Linked DNA regions of Lonchura striata. The main gene of each other region encodes a partner of the protein of the gene in region 3 in a complex. Links are inferred from orthologs where the notes say so. Each region holds a gene or a part of one and is shown on either strand. Other genes may lie near its edges.

The links.
Region 1: VDAC1 (region 3) and PPIF share a complex: the UniProt entries of both Homo sapiens proteins name them as parts of the mitochondrial permeability transition pore complex. The link is inferred for Lonchura striata from reciprocal best matches to the Homo sapiens genes VDAC1 and PPIF.
Region 2: VDAC1 (region 3) and SPG7 share a complex: the UniProt entries of both Homo sapiens proteins name them as parts of the mitochondrial permeability transition pore complex. The link is inferred for Lonchura striata from reciprocal best matches to the Homo sapiens genes VDAC1 and SPG7.

The regions. Positions count from the first base shown.
Region 1 is NC_134609.1:8,881,781-8,889,615, forward strand, and holds the start of PPIF (peptidyl-prolyl cis-trans isomerase F, mitochondrial), read right to left. Parts: upstream 3,016-7,835; 5' UTR 3,001-3,015; coding exon 2,812-3,000; intron 838-2,811; coding exon 807-837; intron 1-806. UniProt on the Homo sapiens protein: PPIase that catalyzes the cis-trans isomerization of proline imidic peptide bonds in oligopeptides and may therefore assist protein folding. Involved in regulation of the mitochondrial permeability transition pore (mPTP).
Region 2 is NC_134615.1:22,789,096-22,797,016, reverse strand, and holds the start of SPG7 (mitochondrial inner membrane m-AAA protease component paraplegin), read right to left. Parts: upstream 3,088-7,921; 5' UTR 2,983-3,087; coding exon 2,866-2,982; intron 1,504-2,865; coding exon 1,401-1,503; intron 931-1,400; coding exon 841-930; intron 1-840. UniProt on the Homo sapiens protein: Catalytic component of the m-AAA protease, a protease that plays a key role in proteostasis of inner mitochondrial membrane proteins, and which is essential for axonal and neuron development.
Region 3 is NC_134617.1:9,727,999-9,735,413, reverse strand, and holds the start of VDAC1 (non-selective voltage-gated ion channel VDAC1), read right to left. Parts: upstream 3,037-7,415; 5' UTR 2,928-3,036; intron 1-2,927. UniProt on the Homo sapiens protein: Non-selective voltage-gated ion channel that mediates the transport of anions and cations through the mitochondrion outer membrane and plasma membrane.

The DNA.
Region 1 (7,835 bases), on a different chromosome or scaffold from region 3:
GGACGTGACAATACAAACACAACTAAATTAACCATATCCCAAGATTATACACTTCAAAAACTTGATTGCATCTTTAAAGTATTATCAATCTATTAGTTATTTCCATACTTTAACAAAACCCTGGTAATAAAGCCAAGAAAACAAAGCTTATTTGGCCTCAGAACAGGGTACAAACATAAGCCTTTTCCATCTCATCTCCCTTTTATTTTGCTGTGATTCCAATTCCCTAACTCCCTCCACCTTTGCCTGCAGTCACAGGTTTCATTTTCTGACTTTTATGCCTTTGTTCTTTATAGCAGTTATGAGGACTATGTCTTTTTAAGGATATTTGTCTACTAGGAACTAAAAAGTACAAGTTTTTTTCAGGACCCTTAAATAATCAGACAAGGAAGGAAACAAATGACAAACCACAAGAACTTTCCAAAATTAATTCACTAGTGACCAGTAAAATAAAACCCCACATACTCTTTGGAAACTCTAAGAAAGACCATCCCTTTAGTTTGCCCTTCCCCATTTGCTCTGGGGTTTGATCTTAATGCCAGCAAGTATGGTTTTAAACATCTTTATTCAGCACTGTTAACCCAATATATGAACTGTACTATCTTGGTGCAAACTGCAAAATGAAACTATCTGGAAAATTACAAATTCCATTTCCTCACTAATACTTCCTGTCATATTTCTCCATATAATAAATGGACATGGAACATGAAAAACAGTTGTAAAGGGTAAAATAACCTTCTCATTCCTGCAAATCGCAATATATAGCTTAACTAATTAAGTATGAAATTCTGAAGATGTTGCCTCACCTGCTGTCTTTGGGACCACATCAGCTTTCAGCTGTTAAAAATAGACAAATTAATAAGTCAGACTTTTCAAATGTACATAGAAACACATTTACACGGGAGATTGACATTTACATGGTACAACTGAAACCCCTTCCCAAAGTGGCGAGTTATGTGAAATCACAAAACATCAAAAACTTCATGAATACCTCAAAACTTTCCAAGCATTTGGCCAGCAATGAAAAATACCCCCTCAATGAAACTTTTAGCCACTTAATGAAGAGCCACTTGAGCAGTGTCTAATGATTTAATTGATCAATACATAATTGAGCAGTAACTAAGAAGAACCTTCACTATGGACCCCAAAGATCAGAGTTTGGATGCAACTAGAGAGACCAAAGTCCTCCTCCGCTCCCTGCACAGAACCAGAAGTTGAAAACGACAGAAAAGGCAAAGGAAACAGAAAAGCAGAAATTGAACATCAAAAACAATGTATGATGTTACATACATGTTTGCAACCAATGAAAACTTCTGATTTTGATTACTGTACATCTTATTACTAACCTTAAAAGGGACATAAAAGTGGCTGTACCAGCCACACCAAAGTTTTACATCCTGACAATGACCAGCAGCAGACACCTAGAAACAGCATGTCTGCAATAAGAACTTAATGTTCCTTCCCCAGGCTACTCTTCTCAGATGACTATAATTTGCAGCTGAAGATCACCACAACTTAACAAAAAAAATTCAAAATGATGCTGCAATTCATTCAGATTTTCTGAAAACTGGGCACACTAAAAAACTTGAACATAGACATTAAATGCTACCACAAGGAGTACAGGAACATTAATGCTATTTTTTATACCACCCAGATTTTCATTAATGAATAAGGAACTTGAAGAGTAATATTTTTACCTATGACTGCCTGAAACACTACCTCCTGAGAGCACAAGAGCTGGAACAGTCCAATTTATTCATATGCTAACACAATCAATAAATAAAAATATACTGGACTCTAGTCTCAAAGGAGCCTCTTTTAGAGAGCACTCCGATGAATAACGTTTTTTAAAAATTCTACAAATACAGACCCAAGGTGGGTGCTGGAGGCAGAAGGCCACACTGACTACCCTCAGCAGGCAGCGCTCCTGAGAGCTTCATTTGTTCTCCAGTGCGTGGTTCTGGAACACAGAACCTTTCCCATCCATCTGAGACACATGCCAGCCCTAAGGTCTCGTGTGCAGAACGTGGCACACAGTGCTCATGGCCCTTTTTTTTTTTATTTTAAGAAGGGGGATTACAGACGTTTTCCTCTTCAGGCCTTCTTTACACGGCCGAGCATTTCAGAGACAGGATCTGTAGGGATGGAGCCAGCTGGTACCCGGCTCTCGAGCTTGCTGCCTCGCTGCACGTGCAGCCCGAGGCTGGAGGAGGAGGCAGCGCCCCGGGAGACCGACACCCGCAGGATTCCAAGGAACCGCGCGAGGAGCGCCCAGCAAAACACAGGATGGAGCTGGAGGCGCGGCTGCCCCAGAGCAGCAGCCCCCGCGGGAAGTGAGGGACCCCCGTGCCGCTGGGACACTGCCCGCCCTTCTCAAGCCAGCGGTACACGACGGCAGTAAGTTCATTCCTGTTCAGTACTTCTGCTTACACACCGTGCAAGTGGCCTTCCCTCGAGGCTCCCAGCCACACCGGGGCCGTGCCCTGCCCCCGAGCCGTCCCGTGGGATGGCTTTAGGGACCGGCCGGGCGCTCAGCGAGAGCAGCGCGCTTCCAGCCCCAGTCCGAGCCCTACCAGCGCCTCTCGCCCCGGCAGAGGCGCCCCGAGGGCAGCCGGGCAGCGGCTCCGGCAGCCGGGCGAGCCCCGCCGTCCGCCGGGCCGCGGGTGCCCTCGCCGCGGCCCTGGAGCCGGCGCTGCCCGCCCTGACCTTGCCCGCTCGCCAGCCGCCGTGCCCGCGGCCGGGCCCTCTGCGCCCCGCAGCACCGTCCCGGGCCCCGCGCCGGGCGAGCCGCCGCAGCCCCCGCTGCCCTACCTCCAGCACGACGCGTCCCAGCGGCTGGTTGTCGGCGCCCACGTCCAAGTACACCACCGGGTTCGGCGAGCCGGCGCCGGCCCCGCTGCAGCCGCGGGTACCGGCCGCCCACATGCAGGCGAGCCCCGGCGGCGGCAGCAGGTCCCCGGGCGGGCGAAGCAGGCGGCGGGCGGCGCTCAGCGCCAGCATCGCCGCGGGCGGGCCGAGCGCGGAGCGGGCGGGCGGGCCGCAGGCACGGAAACGCGGGGACGCGCGCGGCCCGCGGCCTTTATGCGCTCCGCCGCAGCGCCCGCTGGCGGCGGCGGCGCAGGGCGACATGGCGGCTGGGGCGGCTCGGCGGGCTGAGGCGGGGCCCGGGCGGGGGGCGGTGAGCTGAGGCGGGGCCCGGGCGGGGGGCGGTGAGCTGAGGCGGGGCCCGGGCGGGGGGCGGTGAGCTGAGGCGGGCTCGGGCGGGGGGCGGTGAGCTGAGGCGGGCCCGGGCGGGGTTCGGTGAGCTGAGGCGGGCCCGGGCGGGGGGCGGTGAGCGGTGAGCTGAAGGCAGGGACGCGGGGCCCGGGCGGACCCTGCGGGCTGAGCGCGGGGAGCCGGCGGCCAGCGCCGAGGACGCCTCGTGCCCGCCCCGGCTGCCTCAGTGCCGCCCTCTCCGCCCACCATTGCGCAGCGGTTTAGGGGATGTGGGGGGGGCTCGTTTGTCCGTTTGCGTGTGGGGCTTTTTTGCACATTTCCTCACAGTGTCCTTACTCCAGAGACCAGCAGAGACTGGAGAGTTTCTAAAATTTCATCGTTCCACGCAATGACTGTGGAGAGCACCTTGGCGGGGAAGGCGGCGCAGCTGTGCCAGGTGCGGGATCATTGGGATCGCCGCACGCGGGAGGCCGGGCTGCCCGTCGCTCACCGCGGCTCCCGGGAGTCTCGGCGCTGACGCGGCTCGGAGCGGGCGGGTGTCCCTGAGTCACCCGCGCCGCAGCCCCGGCCGTGCCTCAGCATCCTCCGCAGCCCGCCCTGCGCTCCGGCCGCAAACCTGCCCGAGGGACTACAGAACAGAGTAACAGAAGTCCCGCTTTAATATAGGGAAATATCGTTCGTATTTTTTATGAGAATAACACATATAAATTTAAGGTTTCTTAATTTAGCAACTTAGATGAAAGTACTCAGTACATATGTCAGTCATATTTAGATATTACTTTGAATTCTCTAGTTTCCATCCTGATTCCAGGTATAAGTGCTTCCAAAAGTTCTTCAAATTCTTAAAGCCATAAGATGTCTAAAAAAAACAAAATCAAGCACGATTCTAATACTTTTCACATTTCTTCTATTACAGAATTATTCTAATGAAAGTTACAGTAATGCAACCAAGTAAACTTTCGATCCCACCTAAGTTCTTTGTGTCAAGCATCTAAAAGAGCCTTCATTGGTGACATTCACTGAATCAACAGAAAGCTATCAAGTCACTGCCATGACCACAAAGATCAAGGCAGAACTATAATGTGCAATTACAAACAATGGAGAAATCCTGCACGAACACTATTTTTCAGGCACACGCTCCAGAGAGACCCTTAACTGCTGATGCTGTAGGGATGACTATAGCAGGTACCACAGTCTGTAACTACAGACTCATATAAAGCTATGTCAAAAGATCCATCTTGTTCTGAGGGTCCAGAGAAATGCCTAAGGAGGAGTGAAAATGGGGGAGAGGGATGTATTATAGGCCAGTGTGCTTTCAACCTGCTACTGCTTTCACTCCCGAGGACTTCCCAAGCTGACTTTGGTAGTCATCTTTTTTTTTGTTGTTGTTCCTCCCATGTACTTATCCACTCACTGGACCAGTTTTAAATCAGCAGCTTCCTTGGTGATGAACTTCCACAGGCCTGCTTCCCAGAGCATCAAGAATCTGTTTGAATATTGCTCCAATTGCCTTCATCAATGTGCCTTACTTCTTGTGCTGGAGGAGACAAATTGTTCAGTATCTATCTTTGTCATACAGACCTACAGCTCTTCTCTCATTTCAAGACTGAGGAGTCACAGCCAACTCAGTGATTATTTATAACAAAGCTCTTCCATGTCTTTGGATCATCTTTATTATCCTTCTCTGAGCTGTTCCACTTTTACAGATTTTTGGGATAAGAGGCACTTTGCACAGTGTTCAAGATAAGGATGAATAATGACTTACTTTGTGCATACAGTGCCATGCTTGTATTTTCTATTTCTTTACCAATAACCTAAAGGTGATTTTTTTTTTTTTTAATAAGAGATAAATCAGCACTCCTACCTAGTTTGTCATATCTTCTTAGCTTCAAGTCCACTTTTGGTAAACTTTGACTTCTGTTAATCTAATCATCAATCAATTTTCTAATGATCATAAAAAAAACCCCTCACACTCCTTTTTAATATTGTTTTAATTGAAGTAGCAACTGGAAGCACAAATCAAAATTAGATGTTCTGTTTATACCTAAAATAATGGTCAGTTCTGGCCCTGAAGGATTTATTATTTAATAAACAAAAGATGAGCAAAAGAAAATACCATCTTGTTTCACACTTAGGAAACACAGTGAAACAGCTTTGAACTATTTTGTTCAGAAGAGTTCACAGACGTCTTTGGTAGAGCAAACAATGGAGTTTTCCTCATTTGCAGGCCTTGGTGAGAAGACAAAACAGCAGTGATTTTTGTATTTGAGAATATGGACTGAATTATTATCTCTAGGTTTATGCAATAGAGCTACTAAATCACTTGTTATGATCTACTCCTGCAGAGTCAGATGAATTACAACTCATGCAGACAGCTTGGCTAGGAACTTGTGAATTACAGAGGTCACTTTCCAAGAAGGACAGAAAAAGGTCTCCAAAAACTATCAAAGGCCACTATATCACTGCCAAATGAGGCTTAGAGCTAGCTCAGCAAACTGATTCCTTTTTAGGGGAGCTTTGAACACATCCATTTGTAGACTTGTTCATCGCCGAAACCGTGCAACATGTGGCAGGGAGATAAGTACAATGGAAAATGAGTGTACCCACACTAAACTAGTTAGGCAACAGAGCACAGGTGCAGACAAAAGTCAAAAGAGCTGCTTCAGCAGAGCTCTTGTGGATATGGGTGCCCGCCCTTAGAGATTTCATCATCCTCTCTCCCTTCCCCCAAAATTACATAGAAGTTAGAGATGGATAAACAAGGAGGGCCCTTTTGAAATTAGTTTCTAAATAGATAATTTTAAAAACCACTAAAGGACCCTTACGTTGTAGCAGAGAAATTTCTGCACAGAACGAACCTTAAATGATACAATAACATAATTTCATGCTGATATATTACAACTTGAAAGTCCTCATAAATGCTATTCAGTAACTGATTAAATATTGCCACCACTGTGCCAAGACAGCCAGGAAACAAGAGCAGTCAAGTGGCTCTTCCAAAGAAATAGGAGGACTAAGTGCTTGAAAGGTGACCTAAAATTTGGGAATTTTGATTTCAAGCTTCTTGAAATGGTGTTACCCAGCAGACAGACAGTGCACTGATAAAAAGGGGATATGCATTCCTGATTCTAACTGTCCCTCTGCATGCCTACTCGTGACACAGGAATGTGGGTTAATTGTTAATCTTGATGCTGTTGGCAGATGTGATAAGATTGCATTTTGCAATCTACCTACTGTACGAATGCAACTATATGGAACTCAGAATGGTCTGTGGCCCATTTTGATATGCTCTTCATGGGTCTGGACCATGCTTGGACCATGCAAATAAGAACTGAAATACAGGTTGCAGTAATCCACCATTAAGTGCATTGCACAAGAACATCACTTGATACTGTGATACAGTGAATTCCCAGGATACTGATTTTGACATTCATAAGAATGAATACACATATGGGACATGGTTATCTCAAGGACTCTGCTAATCAGGACTGCTAGAATAAGGAGAGGTCATACAGGTACTTAGCTTGATTTTAAGTGAGGAGAGCAGGAATTTGCAGTGGGCATTCCCACTCTGCACCTGCAGAGCCTGGATACATTGCACTTGAAAAGACTCAGCCTAGTATTTTCTTCAAGGTTTTGGCTGAGCTAGAAGATGAGTGAAGAGCTGGAAAGAACTCTGGGATTTGTGTCTGTGATATGCATTTATTTATGAATGGGGACTGGAATGGGGGAGATGGTGAAAGACCTTCATTACACTAAGTGATTGCAGTGTGAAATTAAACTATACAAGAGCTCAAAGGGCATAGACTGGCCACATAAGTAAACTTAGGGATAAAAAGAAAAAATGCTAATATTTCCCCTGATCCAGGTTTCCTCTTAGGAACTTGTAGTAACTCACTTCACTACGTGAGCATTCTCTTCAACACACATTGTACTTAAAGGAGCAGTTTCCCCACATGACTTCATTCTAATTACCTACAAATAGTCATACAAGGAAAGCCTCGATCCACTCATGCTCTTTACAGCTGTGATTAGCATTTTCATTTCAGAACTTCTGAGTGACATTGCTTGCCCGGAATTCATTACTCAATCTCCCTGCATAATGCATGGCAACCCGCTGCTGATGTGTCACAGTGCCTCCATGCAGTGCCCAGGGCCTGCAGCATCCCAGAGGTTTGTCTATACACTACAACAGCTGCCAACAGATAGATCACAACAGGCTGGCAAAGCACTTAGTACATTTAAAATGCCTGGTTTTAGGTTCCAGGAAAAATGCAGCTACTACTCCCAGTGGCCTCACAAATCTTCAGGACATCAATAGGTGGTTCATCTGTGGGTAGGGGAGATACTGCATACTTAAAAAACAGTATTAAGAGTTACAGGAGCCCTTCTACCTTTAAAACCACAGAAATTTCAATTGTAACACAACTTGACATTTCCAGGAATCAGTTCAGCTAATTTACCACCTCTGGTTCAAGGAAAAGTAATTAGGGAATAGTATCAGAAATATTTTGAGAATTGGTTAGTCATGATACTTTATGTTGCATAAGTAAGATGAGACTGGAGCTTTAACCAGCTGCCTGGTAAAGACTTGGATTTTCCTTGAGTTTGTCTTGTTT
Region 2 (7,921 bases), on a different chromosome or scaffold from region 3:
ATTTTATGGGCCCTTCCAACCCAAGTCACCCAGGTTTTTAGGGAGATAAAACTCATTTTCAAATGTATTTTTACATGCTTGGGGCTTAGGAGAATAAGACATGGAAAACAGTATCTAGAAAGACTGATTTTAGAAAAAAAAAAAAAAAAACAAGAAAAATTAGCAACACAGCTGAGAGCTCTTTAAAGAATTTATACCTAAGTTCTGTGATTCACCAGAAGTAGGGACACATCCACACTGAAGATAAATGAAATATAAGCAAATAAACCCAAATCCAGCTTAAATGACTGGGTTTAGTTAATACAAATTTATTAAGTCAAAAAAAACAACAAAAAAAACCCAGGTAATTATTACTGTCCCTCTTCATAAAGGAGCAATGCCAAGCCAACCAGCAATGGGGAAATCTGCACAGGAAGCAAAGTGGCCCATGAAGAGTCACTTCCATGATCTTTCATCCCCTGATTAGATATTAGGGGAAAATCCTTCCCTGTGAGGGTGGCAGGCCTTGGCACAGGTGCCAGAGCAGCTGTGGCTGCCCTGGATCCCTGGCAGTGTCCAAGGCCAGGCTGGACAGGGCTTGGAGGGCGTCCCTGCCCATGGCAAGGGTGGGACTGGATGGGCTTTAAGGTCCTTCCAAGCCAAACCACTCCAGGATTTCAATAATCTGTCCTGTATCTTCCACTCCATCATCTAAACCAAAATGCTCCTTCCAACTTTCCCTTAGCCCCAGGCTTGTACAGGGGGAAATTGCAGGTACAGGGAAGCACAAAGGTGGATCTTCCTTCCTGCATGCCCTTCCCGGCGTTTCAGTAAATTCTGGAATTTCTGGCACACACATACCATCCTCCTCCTGTGGAGATTTCTTCTTGAATCCTCCATTCTTCTGGCTACTCCCCTGAGAGCTGGATGTAGCAAACCAGGAGGTGCTGCCTGCAGGCAAGCAGAGGTCAGAGACTGTTTTGATGGCACAAGGGAAATAATTTGGAGAAATTCCTTTAGTACTGAACCATGGACACAATTCCCAAGGCACAGCCACCGCTAACACTGGTGTGGGCAGTTAGGAACAGCCTCACACTTGGGATTGGAAATGCTCATTAGAGGAAATGTAGGTAATGGAATTAAAACAGGTTTCTCAGGAATACTGGGGGACACTCCAATAAAAGCCAAAAAGGCTACAAACACAAAATCTAACGACTCCAGCACTTCTTTAATCTCCTGAGCTCCTCATGGGAAGGTGCCACTGTTCATTCCTGTCCCCAAACACAACCCTGGATCCCTGCAAACACCCCAGCTCCCACATCCAGGAACAGAAGATCTTTGCTGCACTTTCAGGAATGCAGAGGGAAGGTCAATTCTCTTATGAAATCAAACCTTTTCCCTTCCTGCTCCTTGGGACTCACCCAGGAGATTCCAAAGTCTGACTGGATCTCGGATTATGTGCTGTTTTGTCAGGGCTCCGCCGAGACCTTGACGTGGTAGGGCAAGTGTTGGTGCCAGGAGGCTCTGAGGAAGGAGAGAAAGAAAAACAAGACAACAATTGGAAAAGCAGTGCGGCTGCTTGAGCTTTGTGTGTGCCTCCCTGAGACTCAGATTCCCGAGCAGGGAAATGCTGTGGGTGAGTGTCAGGACAGCAGCTGGGAGCCCTGGATGGGATTCCTGGTTGGGCATTTCCCACTTGATTTGGGAAATGTTTGTAACCCAGAACAAAGAAAGCATAAGTAGAAATAGACAACCCATGCTTGAAACACTTAATAGTTCATCCTTTTTCCTCTCCATGTCTGTGTTTTTGTTCTAAAGGCATATTGGAAATTAGTTCTTAAGAGTGTAGAAAGTTTTTTAACAAAAAAAAGACATTTTAAAGACTTTCAATCCTCCTGCATAGGAGCAAGGACAATGCAGCTCTGTCCCTGAGGTAACTCAGCAAGAATCCTACAGTGGATATTCAGACTTAAGTGCAATTTCACAACATCTAAACTAACATTTATGAACTGTCTCATGCAACACAAGTCTGGTCGCTTCTCCAGTGTGATTCCCTGTCTGCCCTCCACTGCACAGGCTCCAATTTCTAAACCAGCCAGGGACACTGACCAGGCTGAAACCCCTCACTCATTTTTCCTGGTTCTCCTCTTTTTTCCAGCCTGTGATGGCCTAAGATGGCAACCTCAGGATTGATGCTCTCTAGAACAGAGCAGCTTAAATTCAAACTGATCCCACAAAAACCCGGCATGAAACAAAGTCCCACATTGTTCTCCTTACACCACAGAAAAAGCCCTAAATCCAGAGAAGGCCACAAAGCTGATGGGAGAAACGGAGCACCTTTTGTACAAGGAAAGGCTTGGAGAATTGGGATTGTTCAGCCTGGAGAAGAGAAGCTTTGGGGTGACAAAACTGTGACCTTTTGAGTGCCCGAAGGGGCTCCAGGGGAGCTGGAGAGGGACTTTGGACAAGGGATGGAGGGACAGGACAAAGGGCAGTGGCTTCCGAGGGCAGAGCTGGATGGGACATTGGGAAGGAATTCCTCCCTGTGAGGGTGGCAGGCCCTGGCACAGGTGCCCAGAGCAGCTGTGGCTGCCCCTGGATCCCTGTGAGTGTCCAAGACCAGGCTGGACGGGGCTTGGAACAACCTGGGATAGTGGAAGGTGCCCCTGCCATGGCAGCGGACAAGAATAAAATCCCTTCCCACACAAATCATTCCATTATCTCCACGGCGTTCCCCAAGTCCGCGCCCAACAGCGCTGTCACGCCGGACCTTCGGCTCGGCACAGCGACAGGTCCCTCCCGAGCAGCCCGGACGCCTCTCTGCCCCGTTCTTCTCCTCCCCCGGCGCCCCCAGCGCTCGGTACGGCCCCGCCACCGCCCCGTTACCTGCAGGCCGCGAACGCCGCCGAGGGCACAGCCGCGGGGCCGGGCCCAGGCGGCGGCGGGCGGCCGCCAGAAGGCGCAGCGGCCGCGGAGAAGCCCCATCCGCAGCAGCAGCGCCATGTCCGCCGGTGCCGCTCCCGGGAGGCCTCAGAGGCCGCGGCAGCGGGACCAGCCCGGTCCGGGCCGCAGCGGCTCCGCCGTTACCAGCCCCGCGGCCTCGGCGCGGCCGGAAGCGCCCGCTGAGGCCCGGGCGGCCATCTTGGAAGCGGGGACGCGCGCCGCGCTGCCAGCCCTCAAGATGGCGGCGGCGCGCGGGGGCTGCCGGGAAGGGCCCCGCGGTACCGGGGGGCTCCGGTGCGGCCTGAGGGGACGGGAACGGCCTGAGGGGACGGCCCTCCCGCCGCTCCTGCGGCGGGCTCTGCGCTGCAGCCCAGCCCCCGCCTACGGCCGGCCCCGTCACGTCTCATAGAACAGACGGTTCCTCACCAGCCCCGGCCTTCTCCGGGCTCTCCAGCGTGCCCAGGGCCTTGGCCCGGACCCAAATGATTTGGGCAGAACAAACGGCTGGGAGGGGCGACGGGGTCTCTGCAAGGATAGCGGAGAGGCAGCAGCCAGCACTGAGGGGGCCTGAGCCTGGAGTCTGGTGGTGTGAGCACACAAGCGGCCAGGCTCTGGGATTTTATCCCTCCTAATCCCATGTAATTGTAATGCCTGGGAGAAGACGGAACAGCCTCTGCGGTCTTAGCTTCAGCAGAGAGGGAGGAGACCTGTGCAGCTGTTGCTGAGGAAGGTTCCCCTTCTGACAGCCCGAGGTAGGAGTGAGCTCTGGTAGGAAACAGCCTCTGTGTCTGCAATGGGAGTGAGGGACTGAAGTGCGTTCTGAGGGAAAGGGAGTGAGCAAATACATAGAAATTTATATTTACTTTGAGGGTGGCGAAGCCCTGGCACAGAAAGGCTGTGACTACCCCATCCCTGGCTTGTTAATGTCCCCTCACACCTGGAAATCTCTTTCCAGGCTGATTGGATCAAAAAGTTCGATTTACAGACACACAGATTGGTGCCAATTAATACATAAGGGCTGTTCAGAGGAGATGTGGCAGCTGGGGGCAGCTCCACCCACAGATCCCACGTGGAACGCCCAGGGAGGCTGCACTGACTCCCAGCTGGAAGATCCAGGCCTGGATGTGACCAAGCTGTGCTGAACTGGGAGTGCTGGTAATTTGCAGACACATCACAGAGCTGGTGTTGACACAGCTTCTGTCCCTTTTTTCACACTGCTTCAAAGGCAACCAGGTGACAGAGCACCAGGAAGGCTGGATAGAGAATCTGTGGCTGCCCCTGGATCCCTGGAAGTGCCCCAAACCAGGTTGGACAGGGCTGGGAACAACCTGGGATAGTGGAAGGTATCCCTGCCATGGCAGGGAGTGGAGCAGGATGGGTTTTAATGTGCCTTTCTACCCAAACCATTCCATGACGCCATGAAGGAGGGCTGGGGGTCTTTGCCTTGCTGGTGCCAATAGCAGGTGGTGCCAGGAGGGAAGAGTCACGAGGTTCTGCTCTGCATGGGCAGCTCAGGCTGTCCCCTCCAGCATGCAAGAGGTGACCTTGGGAAGGGTGGCTTCAGTCACTGCCCTTGGACTGGCAATATGCTCCTTTGGGAGTAAGCCAATATTCAGAGAGGACAGATATAACCTGATCCAGGCTTGGCCTTGCTGGGATGTGCTCCAGCCATGACATCACCCAGTAATGCCACGTCTATTTACTACTGGGGAAAGGTGCTGGATTGGAGGCTGAAATCCCTGCTTTATCTCCTGAGCAGGTTAGGAGCAGGAAGCAGCATTAGCAAACACATTTTTTCAGGCCAAGAGAAGTCAATTTCCATGGGAAACACAGCTCTGCTCTGTCTCAGAACTCACCTCTCCTGTTTCCATGTAAGACACTCCTCCCTCTGAGGCTCAGGAAGTTCCTCAGCCCCCCCAGCTTATCCCTGACTCATTTCCACACAGCACCTTGCCAGTGGGGTAAATGGATACCTGGAATCAGGTGGCCACTGTGCCATCCACAGACTTATCATCAATGAATCAAAGGATTACATGCAGAGCTGAAGCTGCTGGAAGGTAAATTCAGACCTTTTACAGGATGAAATGTCCCTCCAGCAGCTAAGCCAGGACTTTGCTCTGGCAGGACAAACCACCCAGCTCTGAGTGCCCCGAGTTTCCCGGCATCCCCCAGCACTGTGCATCTCTGTCATGCACCAGATGGGATTTTTTCGATTACTTCTTGGCAGATGACAAATCGAGGTCAAGGGATAGATGCTCCCCTTCAGCACAGCAAGGCCAAGAGCTCAGGAAAACCATAGGGTTTTCAGCAACAAAGGATGTGCCTAAAAGACCACATGGTTTTCCCTCAAGCACAGTAAAAGTCCTCACCAGGAAAGGGCTGCTCAGCCTTTTTCCATGAGCCAGGCCAAACCCATCACACCTATTCACTCCTCCAGGAACAGCATGGGATCACAGTGAGTTCCAGTTCCATGGCAGAGGACAGCATGGCACTGACACTGCTCCTCCCTGGGGCACAGAGCCTCCCCAGCCCCAGGGCGAGCCTGGGACGCAGCACTGGGGTACAAATCTATCTTCGGGTCACCTCTAAAGCCCCGTGAGTGTAAGACAGGCAGGTGACAGATGGCTGGAGGCAGGGGATCACGGGGACTCGGCCACCCCACAGCAGCCACCGCTCCGTCTGCCAGCCGGGGCTTAGAAACCACCGGAAAAGTGAACAGGGGGAAGAGGGAGCAACACTCAGAGTGGCAGGGCTAAGGGGCAGAGCAGGGGAGGGAAACGGCTGTTTGTGACTCAGAGCAGATGACTCTGCAGGAGTGCACTCCCCAGAGAGCTGCTGGAGTGAGCGGGGCTCAGAGGGGCCCTGGAATCCATCTGTGTGCGGGAGGTGGCCAAAGCCATCCCCAAAGCCCACAGACCAGAGGAGGTCACTAAGCTCCAGGGGAGCAACTGTCACTCCACACCCCTGAAATCCATAAGCAGCCTGGAAACCTAAAGCCTGTCATTAGAAATGATAAAAACAGTAATTAGAGCCAGGCTGTCATGAGTTCACACCTGGAACATCAATACAAGGCGTTTACCCAGCAGCAGGAGAGCACTTCCCCCAAATCCCTCCTCTGCGGATGCACCAGGAACAAAGCTCCACGGACCACTCTTCACACAGGCGTGAGTAAATCCTGTAGGGAGCCTTGCAAACAGACTTTATCCACCACTGCAGCAGCTCCCAGCTTTGAGGGATCCAAAAATTCTGCTGCTGTGGGGGCACAGGTGCTACATCAGCTTCTGAGCTGTGGGCTTTGCCTGCCCTGATCCCAGTCCTGGTGCTTCACTGGGACTCAGTTGGGTGCACAGTGGGCTGCACAAAGGAGTTAAACCTTCAAAACACACAGATTTCAGGGCAAACAAGCTGTGCCAAGGAGTTAGACCTTCAAAACTATGCAGACTTGAATATAAGAGAGCTGTTCCATGAACTTAACCTTAATTACATCTCATAAAGCTCTGAGCAGCCACCACACTATAAAGCAGGTGAAAAGCCACGCTTTTATTTCTTTATGGTATCAAGGTGGAACAGCTTAAGTTGGAGTGTCCTTAACAACAACAGCAGCAGAGAAATACAAGAATGGTTGAAAGTAGTTTTATTTAGTAAAACTTAGTCTGTACAGAGCCAGGGAGGTTCCTGCTGCAGTACAGCAGCTGTACTCCTCACTGCCTTCCCAAATGGCTGCTTGGTTTGCCAAACCCATTTCTCTTGAAAATGTTAATAGATGACGTTAATTAAAACATGAGCCAAGCTTAAAGGAAAGGTTTTCCTAATCAAAGCTCTTCTAAAATTTTATTCTCTTGGCCTCTGTGATGTTGGCACCTGACTGGTCACTCAGGGTTTACCAGCCATAAATCACACCTTGTTTCATCTATTAAAGACAGATTCCCATCCCTCCATCTTGTGAGGAGCTGAATCAGCAGGGAACTGCACAGTAGCACAGCCCAGGAATTTTTGACTTCAGGATTGTCATGATGGTTCTTTCCCTCACAACACAGCTGCTGAAGGATTGAGGTGAGTTTGGTCACCCACAGGTTGCTGGAGCAGGTGAGGAGCTGACACAGGTGCCATCTCCAGAGTGAGCCAGGGAGCAGTGCCAAAGCAAGGAGTGGAGGGTCAGGAGCTCTGTCCCCAAAGTCAGTGTCCTTCTAGCTCGCTGGGACAGACAGAAATAGGCCTGAAAGCACATTCCCCAAGTGGCCTAATTTCCCTGCCCTTACACAATGTTCTCTTTCCTCCTCAGCACCAGGGTATTTGTTTTATTTTAGGATTTAAGAGCTTACAACCTTTATCAAAGGACAAAGGTGCTCAACAATTGACTGTAATTTTTTTTTTTGTCCTGAGTATTGCAATTAAGGTGCAAAAGCCAGCCCAGGGTAACAAAGCCAGGCAGGTTAAACATCCCTATCACACAAGTCTCACCCAGAAAACCAGCAGAACAGCCCCCAAGGATATAGTCCTCCCATTCCTGCTGTCAGCTTTCCCTCCCTATGTACTTGAAAGTTCCTCCCTGAACCAGGCTGTTGTGTTCAAATAGAAAAAGGTCAGGGTGACACAGAAAGGGTTGAACTTCCTCCCCAGCACTGGATCTCTGACCTGGATGACATTCAAGGTTGTCAAGGAAGCAGTTACAGACAACTATATTTAGGAAATGAAAACATGTATTTCCCCTCTGCTCAGAGGCCAACACTCACCTGCAGCGTTTGCAGGGAGCTGTGGCAAGAAGCTTAGTGGAAAGGAAGCCAAAAAAACCTCAACCCCTTTCTTTTCACTGGTTTAGCAGGTCTTACAGAGGAAGAAGATGGGTAGAGATAAAAAGACTAAGCCTAAGTGGAACACAGGACCAGCTTAACAGGCTCAGAATAAACCTCTCTCCTGCTGTTATTTAACAGCAGAGCTGGACACGTGAGCCACTCTTTCCTGCTGAGCCCAGCACAGGGATTTCTCTTCCTGGGAGCCT
Region 3 (7,415 bases):
ACAATCTAAAAATTTAAGATAAGAATCAAGTCCATTATAAGAATGAAATTCCTATGAAGACAAGGGAAGTCTATCAGATTGAAAGCTAAGGAAGTAAAAGGTTGGATTTGTCCTTATGTAGCCACATTTTATTCCAAATAAATCTGAACTCATGTACCATTTCTTGATGGTACCAGTAGTTCTGAACATTCCAGCTCCCTGTCTCCAAAAGCATGAAAGTAGCATAGTACTTGCTACTTTTGCAAGTAGCAAAAGCTGCTACTTGCAAGGTGGACACATTACAGCTGCTAGGAACAGCTGGGAGGGACAGACAGCAACCAGATAGAGTCTGTCTGCATGGGGGAAAAAACCCACATGAGGGTCTTTTGCCTCAACGTTAAAAAGAATACTAATTTATTTTTCATTTATCTCCTTCAATAAAGGAAACATTATTCCTTGGAATGAAGCAGCTTTTAGGTGCCTTTCTGGGCCCCCAGCCTGGCAGTGTCATTTCCCAGCCAATGTCTGTTGTGGTGTCAATACACCTCAGAGGATGGGGCTTTGCTCTCAGAGCAGGGCCCAGCTCCCTCCACGTCTCATGGCTGCCTGGAGGAACCAGCTCCACTTGGCACCAGCGTCCCTCTACAACGTCCCAGGCTCCCAGAGGAGCTCATGCTGGCTCCACACATTGGGTTTTATGGTCCAGATCCCAAATCCCTTCAAGTCATGCCCACAGTCTGCTTCAGATCAGGTTCAGCAGCCTCGTTGTGCAGAGATTTAAGAGCACACTTACCCCTAAATACATGCGCAGTCACACAGAGGTCAAACATCAAGTTGGGCACATTCACAAGGCTTTTGAGAAGCCAGTAAAAGCACGTGGTTTGTAAATACTCGGCATTATTAAATACAATACTTAACAATACTTTTTGTCCCTACTTGCTACTATGCCAACACCATATAATCCATGCACCATTATGACTCAAAATTTAAGATTAGGAGTCCACAATTTCTTTTGTTGTAGGCTTTATAAGGCCATGCAGCATCCCTGTGACACTCACAGGATGCCAGCCCTCCTGCTGGAGTTTTGCTCTGGAGCTGCATGCATGAAGGTGCAGATTTAAAGATGGGTTTATGCAGTACCTCTGTAGCCCAATAAAGAGAGGAGCATAAAGGAAATAAACCCCTTAAAAGCAAATGTAAATATTATTATTTAGGCTATGCTAATTATGGAATTAAAGAAAGAGACAGCCAGCTCTTAATTGTATGGGTACACATTAGGATCTGCAGTGTTGTATGGCAACCCCTTATTAAACTATGACATGTAAGTATTGATTAACTTAGGGGGTGTTGCAGCTTGCTGTAGCTACTGTAGTTACTACACTGCAAGGGAAGAACACAGAACCACATCCCCACATGTTAAATTAACCTGTTTCTGTTAAATACCTGTGGAGGAGGAGAAGAACAGTGCTGCTGTCCCACCCCATGCCCCCAGCATGGCAGGGGCCAGGCCAGCGCATGCAGGAAGGGACATGTCCCTTGCTCCCAGCCCCACTGCAGGAACACCCAGCACCATATCAATGGGGATGAGTAATTAAAATGGAATTTTGTTTTCCAGCACAATGTGACAGCTCACACAGAAAAGGAGCATCTGCTACCAATGGTGGATGTGTTTTTCCCTACCTGCAGCAGATGCCAAGAAGAGCCTGAGCTGTGCATCCTGCTTCCATCCTGACAGTGCCAGGGCTGGGGACATTCTCCTGCTGCTACACCAGCCAACAGTGATGTCCCCCATACCTTCACACACCCATACACAAACCCCAAAATGCGGGCAGGAAGAAACGGTGGATCAGTGCAAACCTTTGATGGAGAGTGCTGGAGGGAGGCATTATTCTGGAATGTCATTGCAATAGTGCAAAAGCCTATTTCTGACAAAAATTCACAGGTGAAACATCATGAGAAAGGTGATTATTCAACCATCCACTGTACCCAACAAAACAAACTGCAACACACCTCTGTTCTCACTAAGGCATCTGAGAAACAAGCTGGGATCTGTTTCTGCTGGAATCACTATAAATATTCCCCAGAGATGCAACCCTGCATTGGTCACTGGTGATGAGTCAGCCCCACTCCATTTTCTGAAAAATTTGTTACCGTTTTTTATTATTTTGCAAATACCTAAAGACTGAATGAGTCAAAGACTTTTCCCCCCTCCAGCAAGAGTTGTTCCCAGCAAGGGCTGTGACAAGGCAGAATTGAGGCAGCTGCTGCTGTGGCCCCACAGTGCTCAGGAACAGAAAGCAGAAACATGGGGATTTTTAAACTAATATAATTCCCCACAAGTACAAACCTCTATTCTGAGAATAAGCAGAATGAAATGGAAGAATAAATCAGTTTGCCTGCTTGACTTGAGGTTTTGGTATATATCAGAACGAATTTGCCAACCCGCAAGAAGGATGCCGGGGGTGCAGAAGAGCGAGGTGAAAAGGATGCCAGAGCCAAGAAGGTGCTAAACGCGGGCAGGTACGGCCACCTTCGACCTTTGCTTCCCGGGAAGGAGCAGAACGATCCCGCACGCTGAAGCGCTCGTCAGGAGCCGCACGGCTGCCGTGGCCCTGTGACCCTTCTCCTCCCGGCACGGGGCAGCGCCCGGTTCGCTGAGCTCGGCCCCGCTGCGCCCGGCGGCATCCCGGGATGCGGCGCCGGGACCCCGCCGCGCCCCGCTCCCGCCGGCCGCGATGTCCCGGCCACCCGCGCCTCCCCAGCAGGCCCCCGTGTCGCAAGGCTCGGCATTACGTAAGGACACCGTTTTATCCCCGTTCCGCCGGGCCGCGGGTGGGCAAACCCGCCCGGGGCGCTGCGGGCTGCCCCCGCTCCCACGCGTGCCCCGGGCCCGCTCCCGCCGCCCGCATCGCCCCGCGGCCCGGGACCCCCTCCCGGGACAGCCCTACCTGCCCCCGCCGCGGCGGCAGCTGCGCTCCGCTCCGCCTCGGCCTCCTCCGGCGGCGGCTGCCCCTGCCCGGTGCCGCCCCGGGCTCTGCGACGGCGGCGGTGCGTGACGGCGGGCGGGACCGGCGGGCGGGACCGGCGGGCGGCGCGGCGCGGCGGGCGGGGCGGCCCGGGCTGCGGGGCCGCTCCCCGGGCGCCCGGCTGCGCCTCCCCGCACCGGCCCGCGGCTGCGGCATCCGCGGGATGCGCCAGCGCCAGCCCCGGCGCCACCCGGGGCATCTGCAGCCGCCTGGGTACCAGAATCCCGGGCTCTGCGGGAAACCAGACGAGGTGACTTTTAGAGGACCCTTCCCAGCCAAACCATACTGATTCGATGAAAGTCCCCATTTAGTCTGAATTGGATAAATTAAAATTGCCTAGATTTCAATTTAGAATTTAATTCTAACTCCCCGTCTTGTTAAAATTTCAATTCCCCGTATCCTGGTTGAGGCAAGAGTGGTGGGAAAGGAGGAAGGGAGGATTTGAAAGAGGATCTGTGAGCAGGTGAGGCTGTGTGTGATATCTGGTGAGTGTCCAAAGGAGCTGTCAGGGGGCCAGGGGCCAGCGAGGCAGCATGACTCCCCCCGTGGGGACTGGCTGTGGGGCGTGGAGAGGCTCTCATGAATTAGGGAGCTGACAGCTTTCCTAACTCTCCCTCAGATACACAAATCGGCCCTCACAGCTCACAGGGAAGCTGGACTGGGTCCAGAGCAACACTCTTCTGGTAACAAAACACTCAGGCAGGGAGTGATCTGCTATCAGAGGGAACAGAGGTGGAACTGGGCTACTTTCAAGATGAGATATCAACCCAGTCCTGCACTGTTGGAGGTCCCTGGGACACACAGAGCATCACCCACAAGACAAACAGGGGAATCATCTCAGCCAGGAAACTGCTGATGGTCACCCTTCTGCCCCCACCATGCAAGGGATATCTGTATCAAAAAAAGAATCATTGCTGAGAGTCTACATCCCACTCATGAGAACATTGTTTTGGTTTGGTTTTTAATTAGTTCTTTCCTGCTTTTTCTCCCTTGCACAGCGTCAATGGATGGCGAGAGTAGGAAGTTTCCCTGCTTGTGCTCTTAGCTGGCTCATACCTTTGCTTTCCCAACAGCATTTCTCTGAAAGGCACTGCTCCCACAGCCGTGGCAGGGCTGTACCCCATCATGTGCGTGGTGCCTGCTCTGGCACAGCCCAGCAGCAAGGTTGGACTCATGCAGCTGAGCACACACACAGCACTTGGGAACTTTGGTCAGGGTTCCAACTAAATAAACCCTGCAAGGAACTTAATGTTGAACTGAAGTATATAAAAAAATGAAGTGGCTTGTGGAATTCAGTGGTATCTCAGGAATGACAGGGTGGTAGAGGGGAAAGGATTGTGTGTGGCCACATATTGACCTTAGAAAGGCAGCTGAGGCAGCTAAGGCTGAAGGAATTGTGCTGGATACCAAATCCACATTAAAATAAAGTGTGCAGCCTACCACCAGGGTAGGAACCCACGGAAACAAGAGGCCTCTTTCAAATTTGGAAAGTTCTTCTAACCACAGTCATTTTGTTGATCCAGGCACCACTACGAGTGTGGGTGTTGTAACCAGAGCACTGAGTTGCAGTCAGGGTGAAGTGCCAGCTCTCAACACCCTCTCAGTTTTCTCTCTGGCAGAAGCTGGTACCTTCCCTCTTTTCCTGCATCCTGGGGCCTGTCAAAACCTGCTCTGGATTTCACTCACTGTCCCATGAAAAAATGTAGCCCAGCAAAAAACCAGTGGGCAGCTTTCTGCTGGGGTGCATTGAACCTCCTCCCCCAGGAGTCAGAGGAGCAAGGGAAGTGAGGAGGCTGCTGGTGCAGAGGCAGGACCCTGGAGGGGAGGAGGGGCACAGGACATTCCCCAACATCCCTTTGACCAGGTCACAAGGGTGCACTTTCACCCTGAGCAGCAGCTCCTCAACCTGCCCCTGCCAAAGTGCAGCCTCAGCTCTTTGCCCTCTGCAAAGGTAAATCTGATAGCAATGAGGGTGATTTTTAGAGCACTATCTCCCAGCCTTGCTCCCTCCCCATGCATCAACCTCCTGCTGCCCCACATGATCAAATATATTATTTTATTACCTCTGGGCATCAATAAGTATTTTATTACTTGTAAACATGCAGAGATTGCAGCCTGTTCCCTACAGATTTTCTCTGAGCAGCCAGACCATGAAGAAACCAGCCCAGCCCCTGCCCTGCACTGAGCCCTCCCAGCCCCACAGGCACGCACAGGGTTTTTGGGAGCTCCTTGGAGTATCATTGGCCGAGATTAATTTTCACAGGCTGCCTCTGCAGTAGAGGCTGAGTGCACAGAATCACAGTCATGGGATGATTTAGATTGGAAACGCCTTGAAGATCATCAAGTCCAACTGTTAACCCAGCACTGCAAAGTCCACCACTAAACCTTGTCCCTAAATGTCATGTCTACACAATTTTAAATCCCTCCAGGGGCTGATGCTGCAAGTGGGTTAAGAATGAGCAGAGGGACAAAGTGTTTCGTATCTGTGAGAGATAATTTTTCTTTAATTTCCAGAACACACATCTACCAAAAGATGGCAGCAAATCTCCTCATATGGAGTTGAGCATCAGTGCTGTCTGCTCTCTTGGGCTCTATTTTTCCTACAGGTTAAAAACTGTAGATTATCCTGGGGAGTGCCAGAAGAACAGGAGAATCACACTAAATGTTCTTAATGGAGAAAATCTGTGCTTGTGACTTCAGTTTAAATTTTACAAATTCCTTCTACAGTATAAGAAATCTCCTAAATGCTCTATGTGTCAGTTCCTTCTTTTATCTTGGCAGTTCTTAGTTTTTAGTAATGCTACAGCTTAATTTATTTTAACAGGTGAAAATAGAACAGAGTGCATCATAATAGATTTGACTAACAATAATTCCACAAATCATTCACATACAGGATCTGTCTAAATGTTCTTTTTCCATCACAGGCTTTAGGTCTTGAGAACTCAGAGCAGCTTGTTTAACACCAGTTTGCTGGAGAAATCTCCAATTGCCCCATCTTTCATTATATAAATCTGCATGTCAGTGGAAGATTATTTTTAAGCTCTGTTCTGCATCACTAATGGATATAGACATAACCCTGGTTCTGATACTATTCATACCAAATTAGCTGGGAATAGATCAAAGTTAGTAGAGTCATTGCAGGTACCAAACTGTGGGCTGCACTCAGCTCTGGTGACAGTCCTGGGGCTGGGCTTGCAGGAGCTGTGCCCTGTGCTCCCTGACAGGGCACATCTTTACAAAGCAAACCACAAAACAAGTGTTTTATTCAGGAGTTAGTGTTGGGAAGCATGGAAGAATCAGCCCTTTTGCATTTCCAAGTATGCTACTGATTCAATTTCTTCATAAAATGGGACCAGTAAATACTATTTTCAATAATCACTTTTACATAGCCAAATTGTTCAAAACTGTCATTTCCTCCAAAAATAACTTACCTGCCTAAAATAAAGCTGTGAGGAAAAAAAAAAAAAAATGCAGCTTGTGAATTCTACATGAACAGCTAAGTCTAATTCAACTGCAATTTCATTCACATCACATAACATGTTTGAACAGCAGAAAAACTCACTAGCCAGAGATCCAAGATGTATTTGTTCAATAAAGTTTGATTTGGCTCTCTTTCATAACAAAAACATTTTCAGCTTGTTAACCTGCAAGGAATCCATTCATCATCAGTCAAGAACATGCTGATGGAATCATAAAATAAGCAAGGATGCCTCGCTGCTGGGTATCACACTATGTAAACATATCTTCATGCCCTTACACTGATAAACTCAAGCCAGGCTGTGTTGCTCAGAGCCAAGCCCTCACTGCCTGCTGTGCTCATGTCAGACAGGTTGTTTCCACTGCAGAAAACCCTGAACTGGGAATGCCTACACAGCTCCACAGAGCATCTCTGTGCCAGAATAAACATTTTTACCCAGGCCAGTGTAAGTGGGCTGCTGCTGGTCTCTGCAAATGAGCACTAGCATCTATTTACCACCTCCAGCACAGCCCTCTCAGACCCACCCAATGTCACTGCTCCCTCCTTCCCCGTTCTCTCAAGGTGACACAAATATCTTCAAAACTCTTTAAAATAGTTGTGTAGTTTTAACTGATTGTTTTCACAAAACACAGTACGGACCAACTAATCATGCAAGTTATCCTTGAGGATCCACAACCTCTGGGCCAAGCAGCCAGGAGTGGCCATGGCAGCCAGCCCAGCTGCAGCCAGGACAGGCTGAAGCTGCTGCAGCTGCACCAGGGCAAGGATGAGCTGGTTCAACACGTGAGCTCAGGTCAGAAGGGTCCTTGATTGTCCCTGTTCCCATTTGTCCACTCTACCACCTGCCTGGAGTTTCCAGGCATTGTTCAGCTACTTAATCAAGATGTAGTTCCACAGAAGGTTGTGTTCTGCCCTAGACAGATAAAGCAGCC